2 linked regions of the Mus musculus genome follow. The protein of the gene in region 1 purifies or fractionates together with the protein of each later gene. This does not show direct contact. Links are inferred from orthologs where the notes say so. Each region holds a gene or a part of one and is shown on either strand. Other genes may lie near its edges.

Region 1 (4,071 bases):
CCAGGGAAAGAGGCAGCCGGTGGGAAATGGGCCATCACAGCACATCAGGACACGGCAGGCACAGTCCTACATGGTTGCCACTGTGCATCTGCACTGGCTACTGAGTGTCACAGATATGTGTTAAGCAGGTACTGGCTCTACAGGCAGCTGTACTTGGTGGCCCATTAAGACAGGATTTCAGGGGGAACCAAGGAAACATAACACATGCAAAAAGAGGCTATGGTTCCCAACTATTCTTCCAGGGCTGAAATTCTGCCCAGCCCTGCCATCAGGCAGAATGAGATCCCTCTGGATGATAGAGGCTCCTCTCTCTCTCTCTCTCAACACGGCACCCGATTGAGTTACCTGCAAAGGTCATCACCTCCCTTTAGCCTCCCAGACAACTGTATCCAATTCAGTGGCTTTTAAAGGTTTAGCCTATGACCAACAATAATATTTTCCCATCAATGATGCAGAAGATACATGGAAATGCCACAGCTGAAGCAGTGTTTTGTGTAGCATGACTGTTACATGCCACACAGTGATGTTTTCCATCCTTGCCCTTGCAAAATAAAAATGCTGGTAGCAAGACCCCCCAACCCAATTTTACAACACTCACTAATGAAACTTGACCTGTCAACAATCCAAGCTTCCAAAGCAAGCTGTGGTGACCCATGCCTATAATTCCAGCACTTGGGAGGCTGAGGGAGGAAGATAACAAGTTTGAGGCCATCCTGGGCTATAACATAGCAAAGCCTCATCTGGAAAAAAAAGTTACAGACACAAAACAAACAAAAAGGCTTCCCTAGCTCCACCCTCCTATCTCCAATGCTCAAGAGACTGCCATTCTTTGTGACTGTCAGTAGCAATGCTACTATAGCATTGCTGCCTTGCTCCCAACCCTCCAACTGTCCCATAAAACAAATCCTTCCATGGACCCCTAAGCCCTTACACGATCTTACCCCTGTCTCCACATAAGCATCTCCTCATGGCCTAGTGACCAATTACTGAACTTCTAACAGGCCAAGCCCCAAGCATCCTTGAGGACACTCTGCACAACAATCCCAGGTCATTTTCTTTTTTTTTTTTCTGGTTTTTCAAGACAAGGGTTTCTCTGTATAGCCCTGGTTGTCCTGGAACTCACTCTGCAGACCAGGCTGGCCTCGAACTCAGAAATCCACCTGCCTCTGCCTCCCAAGTGCTGGGATTAAAGGCATGAGCCACCACTGCCCGGCTCACCAAGTCATTTTCTGGATGCTCATTTTCCTTATATGTAACCACTGCCAGTCCTTCCAGGATTAGACGTGTTCCCTGACAACTCAACTGAAACAGCCGCTTCCAGCCCCTTCCATTACAAGCATAATTCCTTATTTCCTGAATGGTCCTAAGCTGGAACTTCCTGATCTGCTTGCTGGTCAGGTGTTAGCTGTCCTCTGTACTAGACTTTAAACTCTACGAAGGCTTCTCTATGCTTCACATTCCTGGACCATTAAGTGGAGATAATAATTATACTTGGTCGTGGTTATGGGATCATTACTTTTAAAATTAAAAAAAAAAAATCACAGTTCTTTCTCCCAAATATTAATGATGCCAGGCATCAATATAGTACCAAATAATACTCTTCTCATTAGCTGTGCAAATCAAAATTTATAGTGCCCAACTTCGAATTGGTTTACCCAAGGTCACAGCCCCCCAAGAAAACAGGTAAAGAAATCCAAATCTAGCTGATGCCAAGAGCCTTGGTTTTATTCTTAACTAACATGCTGCACATCTCTTTGGTAAAAGGCAGTATGGTGTAGTGGTTAAGAGGTTGGACTGCCGTGCAAAACCTTACAGGTTCAAATCCTACCTCTTCAATATAGCAGCTGATTAGCGACGTGAATTGCATAACCCTGGGTCCTTTCCTATTTTAAACCACACACCGGCTTCAAAGGGATAAGGCGAACCTAGAAGGACTGTTGCTACGTGGCAACATGTTTTCTTCCAATATAAGACCGAACAAGACAGCCACAAATGAAAGAAGCAGGAGTGTCACCCATCTTACACTCATTAAAACACCGTAGCACGGGAATCATATCCCCATTTCACAGATAAAGGTATGATCTTATCTTTTCGCTCCCAAACCCAGGAACTCTAAAACAATATTCCAGGATGACCCGGTATGTGCACCATCCCCCGTTACTGGAAGGTCCCCGGGTCCACGAAGCAGTCGCCACTCTGCTTAAACACAGATCAATGAATGAGGCGTCCCGGGCCCGCTCGGGCTAAGCAGAGTTGACCAGGTTCAACGACCCCTGCCCATGCAGGCGGCCCCGAGTCCAGTGGCTTTCTCCATGTCGCCGGTGCTCAGGCGCCCTTCCCACTCTTCCGAAAGCCGCCACGCCACCGGGCACCAGTGCCCTCGCAGGTGCGGTTCGGGAGCCAGGCCCGGGCGGGGCAGCGCGGCCGAAGCCTGAGTCAGCGCGGGCCGCACCGCCGTCGTCTCCCCACCGTCCAGCCGAACGGAGCGACCCAGGCCCGGGGCGGCCTGGAAAGCCGGGCGGCCACCTTGCGCCCTGCCCTGGTCCCGGGAGGCCGCGGCCCCTCGGCACGCAGCGGCGGGGGCCTGTCTGGCCTAGTCAGCAGCGCGGCCCGGAGCACCGAGCGAGTGCGACGGCTGCGACCCGGATCCCGAGGCTGCCGAGTCGGGGCTCACCTCTCCGCCGGGGCCGCGCGCGGGCGGCGGAACGGCCCAGGGACCCGCGGGCTGCAGAGACGGCGGCGGCCGGGTCTTCTATCAGGCAGCGGCCATGTTCCTGCTGGAGAAACTCCGCCGGACACGTGGGGGGAGCGGGGCCGGCCCTCGCGCTTCCTCTTACCCACAATGCCCCGCCCCGGCGCGCGCGGGACCGCCCCTTCGGCGAGCTGCTCGTGGTGCAGAGAGCGCACATCGACAGCAGGGGTCGCCGCTGCGCTCGCAGAAGGAACCTAGAGCGAAAGACGCTGAGACAAAAGAAAAAGCCTGCCTTGGCAGCGGTGGGATTCGAACCCACGCCCCCGAAGAGACTGGAGCCTTAATCCAGCGCCTTAGACCGCTCGGCCACACTACCCAGCTGTTGACGTCGTTTTCTAAGAAGCTACTTATTGGATTGACACGTATATTTTCTTTCGATTCTTGGAGTTATATTTATTTATTTTATTTCCTGCCGATAGAAATTGCCATAAACAATATTATCATCATGCCACTTATTGAAATAAAAGTATTTAGATGCAAGCTTGTTCCAAATAAGTTTTAAAGCAAAGGATAGTTTATTTTGCGTTCTGAGTCAGTTGGTTAAGGTGTCAGGTTAAGCCACTCAGACACTCAAAAACCCGAATTCGATGTCTGGTTCTGTCAGTAACTTTCACCAAGCTCTCAGAGCTGAACTGTAACCCCAGGTCTGCAGAGTTCTATCTGAAAATTTACGTGTTTAAATTTTTAGTACACAAACAATTTTAAAACTTTGCAGATAAAATATATTCTTTGTAATATTCAAAATAAGATTCTTCGAGCTTTGACTTGCTCTAGTTTCCTAGTACCCAGCATTATTGGCTGATTGTACATCCTTTCTGCTCTTTTGCTGTCAATGTTTATCTCCATAGAAAATAGTTTTGTTCATATTGTGAATGGGTTGGTATATAAATATTAACACAGTAACACATAGAGATATACAGCTGGCTGGTTTTTCACTATACTTTTGATTTATTTTCTGTTTTGCTTTTGTTTTTAACCAGACTTTATTTTTAAGTATCTTTGCATGTTAATATGCCCATACAGACTTTTACGTTTACTTTATTTATTTGTTTGGGAGTGGGGAACGGGCGGGGGCGGGCCGTGGAGGTCAGAGGACAACTTGCCTGATGAATAAGTTCTTTTGTTCCACCCTGTGGGGGCGTCTTAGGTTGTCAGGCTTCGAGGCAAGTGTGTTTACCTACCTTCTGACCGAGCTATCTCACCAGCCCTAGATATTTTAAAACACTGAAAAAGATGAAAAAAAAAATAGTCACACACACCCCATATTTCCACCACCTAGAATTAAACTCATTTCTGCATTTACATTTGAACATGCATAC
Region 2 (3,518 bases), on another chromosome or scaffold:
GCCCCTCCGCGAGGCGCCTGCTTTTCTGTATCCTTTGCAGGGCACTGCCCACACTGCCTTTACATCAGAAGCTCCCTGGGGAGCTAGAGGTGATGTCTTCATCACCTCTGCATCCTCGACAGGTGCAGTGGTGAGCACTGCTAGATTTGCACAATGAAGGCTTCCTGCTACAGGGCAATCTTAGCTAAAGGAACATGTGTCCCAGAACACTCAGCAAACTGGAAATGTCTTGTACCTGTGATGTCCCCGTGCTAACTGGGAGCCACAGACAGGCCCCTGAGCATCTGAGGTATCTCTAGTATTGGTGTGTGTGTGTATGTATGTGTGCGTGCTTTCTTTTCCTTTGTTTGGGTAGGTGTTTTTTGTTGTAGTGGTGGTTGTTTGGGGTTTACTGTTATTGTTTTTGAGATGGTGCCTCACTGTGTAGTCAAGGCTCTCCTGGAACTCCTTATGTAGACCAGGTTGGCCTTGGAGTCACAGAGATCAACACACCTCTGGTTCCTGAGTGCTGGGGTTAAAGGTGTGCACTGCCTCACAGGGCTGATTTAATGGCCACATGTAGCCAATGAGTGCCATAACAGAGACTATCCTTAGGCCACTAGGACCACATATCCCCCTGAAGGTGGCTTTACTCAAGGAGCCAAGAGTGCAGCCAGGCTGAAGAAAGGTCTATAGCTGAGGATGGCTGAGGTCAACCTTGACTGTACATAAGACCCTTTACCGAGGCAGACACTGCAGTCAACTTTACCCAGGGCTGTATGAACCCGTGGTAGGGATGCTCACAGCCCTATGCAGGCCTCCCCAGCCCCATGGGAGAATGTTCTGCTGTTGCTGTGTTTTTCCTTCTCCCTAGTCCATCCTGCAGCACCCACGCGCCCCATACCAACAGTTTCCCTTAGGCTTGGGTCTCCCACTAGAGTTCCACTAACACCCTGCCTCCTCTGGATGGGCTGAGCTCACTGGCCGGCCATCCAAATTTAGAAAAACAACATGCTCTTCAGTTTCCTAGCGCCCAGAGCCACCGTTGCTCCAGACTTTCCCAAGTGAGGGGCCTGCTTACTGGGCTGGGCTGGCCAGCCTCCCTCCCATCAGCGTAAGCTAGAAGGAGCTGTTGCAGCCTTGCCTGAATTCACTCTTATTTTGTTTGACCAACTGACAGGAATTCTCTGAACTCAGGTAATCACATGTACTGGGCTCCACCCCAGACCTCTTTTCATTCTTTATCTTGGGGCAGCGTCTTGCTAGTTGCCCAGACTAGCCTAGAACTCACTCGGTAGTCCAGGTAGGCCCGTGAACCCATGATCCTCCTGTGTCTTTTTTGTTTGTTTGTTTTGTTGTTGTTTGTTTTTTGTTTTTCGAGACACGGTTTCTCTGTATAGCCCTGGCTGTCCTAAAACTCACTTTGTAGACCAGGCTGGCCTTGAACTCAGAAACCCGCCTGCCCCTGCCTCCCGAGTGCTGGGATTAAAGGCGTGCGCCACCACGCCCGGCTGACCAGGGTTCTTACTGTCACTTCTCATGTCACTTCTTACATTTTCCCACAGGTGCCCTAAAGCACTGCACAAGTCCTGACACACCAGGGCTGGGCAGGACCAGCAGCTTGGGCTCACTGTGGTGAACTGACAGACACGACGGCCAAAGGGCAGCACTTACGCGATCTGAAGAGCCCGGGTGCCCAGCACCCGGGCCCGCTCATACTTGGTCATGTAAGGAGTGGTGATCCGCTTCTGGTTGGCCTGTGGTCGCTCACCAGATGGGAGAATCTCGACATTTTCCTGGCCCTCCTGGATAGCAAGCAAACAAAGAGGGGAAATCTCAGGGCAAGTTTTGGATCAGGTAGGACGATGATGACACAGAGACTTCCCACCACCCTCAACCCTTTCTGGATGTCATGGACCGTGCAACCACTCACTGACACCACGCAATCCTTAACCGCATGCAACCTTGTAAGGTAAGGATTGTGGTCCCCAATCCAGGGGCTTCAAGAGTCAGCCAACCTGACCAAAACCTCCAAGCTAGCAGTAAAGATGACGGTGTTCAGAACTCTAGAGCCAGCCGCCTTGCCCAAACAGCTGGCCCTGTAAGTGGTGAGCACACCCTGAACCGGAAGCTCAGGACAAACACCTGCTCTTTCATATGGCAAATGAGTCACTGGGTCAGGTGACTAGAACAGTCATGGTAAATGAGAGTCAAACACATACTGAGCAAGAACCTGCTGTCCTCTGCTCTATTTAGGCGAGAGAGAGAGAGAGAGAGAGAGAGAGAGAGAGAGAGAGAGAGAGAGAGAGAGAGAGAGAGAGAGAGAGAACACACGAGACCATGGGTTTCATCCCCTGCAGCACGCATGCACAAACGCACACAGGAATAATGGTGATCTGACACAAAGCAAAGAGTTTCTGATAGCAATGGCGGCTGCCAGAGAACTGCGCAGCTCATGATCCGTTTACATGATTCTAAAACCAAGACTTAAGGGTTAGGGTTTGCCTCATAGAGTAACCTGCTTGCTACCTAAACTGGAGAACCTAAATTTGGGTCTTAGCCTCCATGTAGAAGTCTGGGTCTGTAGCAGTGTGCTACAGGCATAGCCACAGAACTAGTGGTAGAGTCAGAAGGGTTTCTGGGGCTTGCTGGCTGACAGCCTAATTGAAGCACTGAGCCTCAAGTTTAGAGAGACCCTGTCTTGAAAAATAAGATGGAGAAGGAGAGAGGATGACCTCTGACCTCCACATGCATTGCACAGGTAAGTGCGCCTGCATACAGCACACGTGCACATGCATAAAAATACATAAAAAAAAAAAAGTAATTGTTTGCTGTGTGCTTACTACATGCTGAACCGTATTTAGGATACAGTAGTGAATAAAACGGACCAAAGTTACTTCTACCTGTGCCTTTAATCCTAGCACTCAGGTGGCAGAGGAAGGCTGATTTCTCGTGAGCTACAAGCCAGTCTGGCTTAAATAGTAAGTTCCAGGCTCTATACTAAGATCCACCACCACCAAACCATACATAAGACGACACGATTATCCCAAGACCTAGTTGAGGTGGCACTCAGACAAAGGCCCGGAGCAGATCCATGGAATTGCATTCCTGGAAAGTGAACAGGGAAAGCCCTTGGTGAACGCTGCCCGTCCCTTGTCCGGGCTGCAGGGCAGAGGCCGAGGCTGGCTACTGACCTCCTCAGCATTTTCCAAGTCGTCAAGTCCTTCGTCCTCCTCAACGTCATCAAAGTCGTCGCCGTCGAAACTGCCAGAAGAAACTGGTGGTTAGAGCATCACCGGCCAGAACCAGAGATACAGCCCATGTCTCAGCAGTGTCGGACAAGGGGCCGGCAAATCTCAACAAGGGAACCAAACTCTGGAGGGTCACTCTGTGCCTCCAATCATGTGCCATGTGTCCCCACAGTTTGCTAGGACACCTTCACTGTGGTTTCCTTCTCTGTGAACCACGCCAGTTACATGTACACATGGACTGTTCTGGTCCGGGGACTGTGTGTTTAAGGTTTATTTTATCTGTGTGTT

Evidence for each region.
Region 2: the proteins of Polr3e (region 1) and Polr2f purify together in Homo sapiens (affinity purification with mass spectrometry; 4 studies listed by BioGRID and IntAct, with this or other methods). This does not show direct contact. The link is inferred for Mus musculus from reciprocal best matches to the Homo sapiens genes POLR3E and POLR2F.

Annotation. Positions count from the first base shown.
Region 1 is NC_000073.6:120,916,514-120,920,584, reverse strand, and holds the start of Polr3e (DNA-directed RNA polymerase III subunit RPC5), read right to left. Parts: upstream 2,808-4,071; 5' UTR 2,675-2,807; intron 1-2,674. UniProt on the Homo sapiens protein: DNA-dependent RNA polymerase catalyzes the transcription of DNA into RNA using the four ribonucleoside triphosphates as substrates.
Region 2 is NC_000081.6:79,144,319-79,147,836, reverse strand, and holds part of Polr2f (DNA-directed RNA polymerases I, II, and III subunit RPABC2), read right to left. Parts: intron 3,244-3,518; coding exon 3,174-3,243; intron 1,785-3,173; coding exon 1,654-1,784; intron 1-1,653. UniProt on the Homo sapiens protein: DNA-dependent RNA polymerase catalyzes the transcription of DNA into RNA using the four ribonucleoside triphosphates as substrates.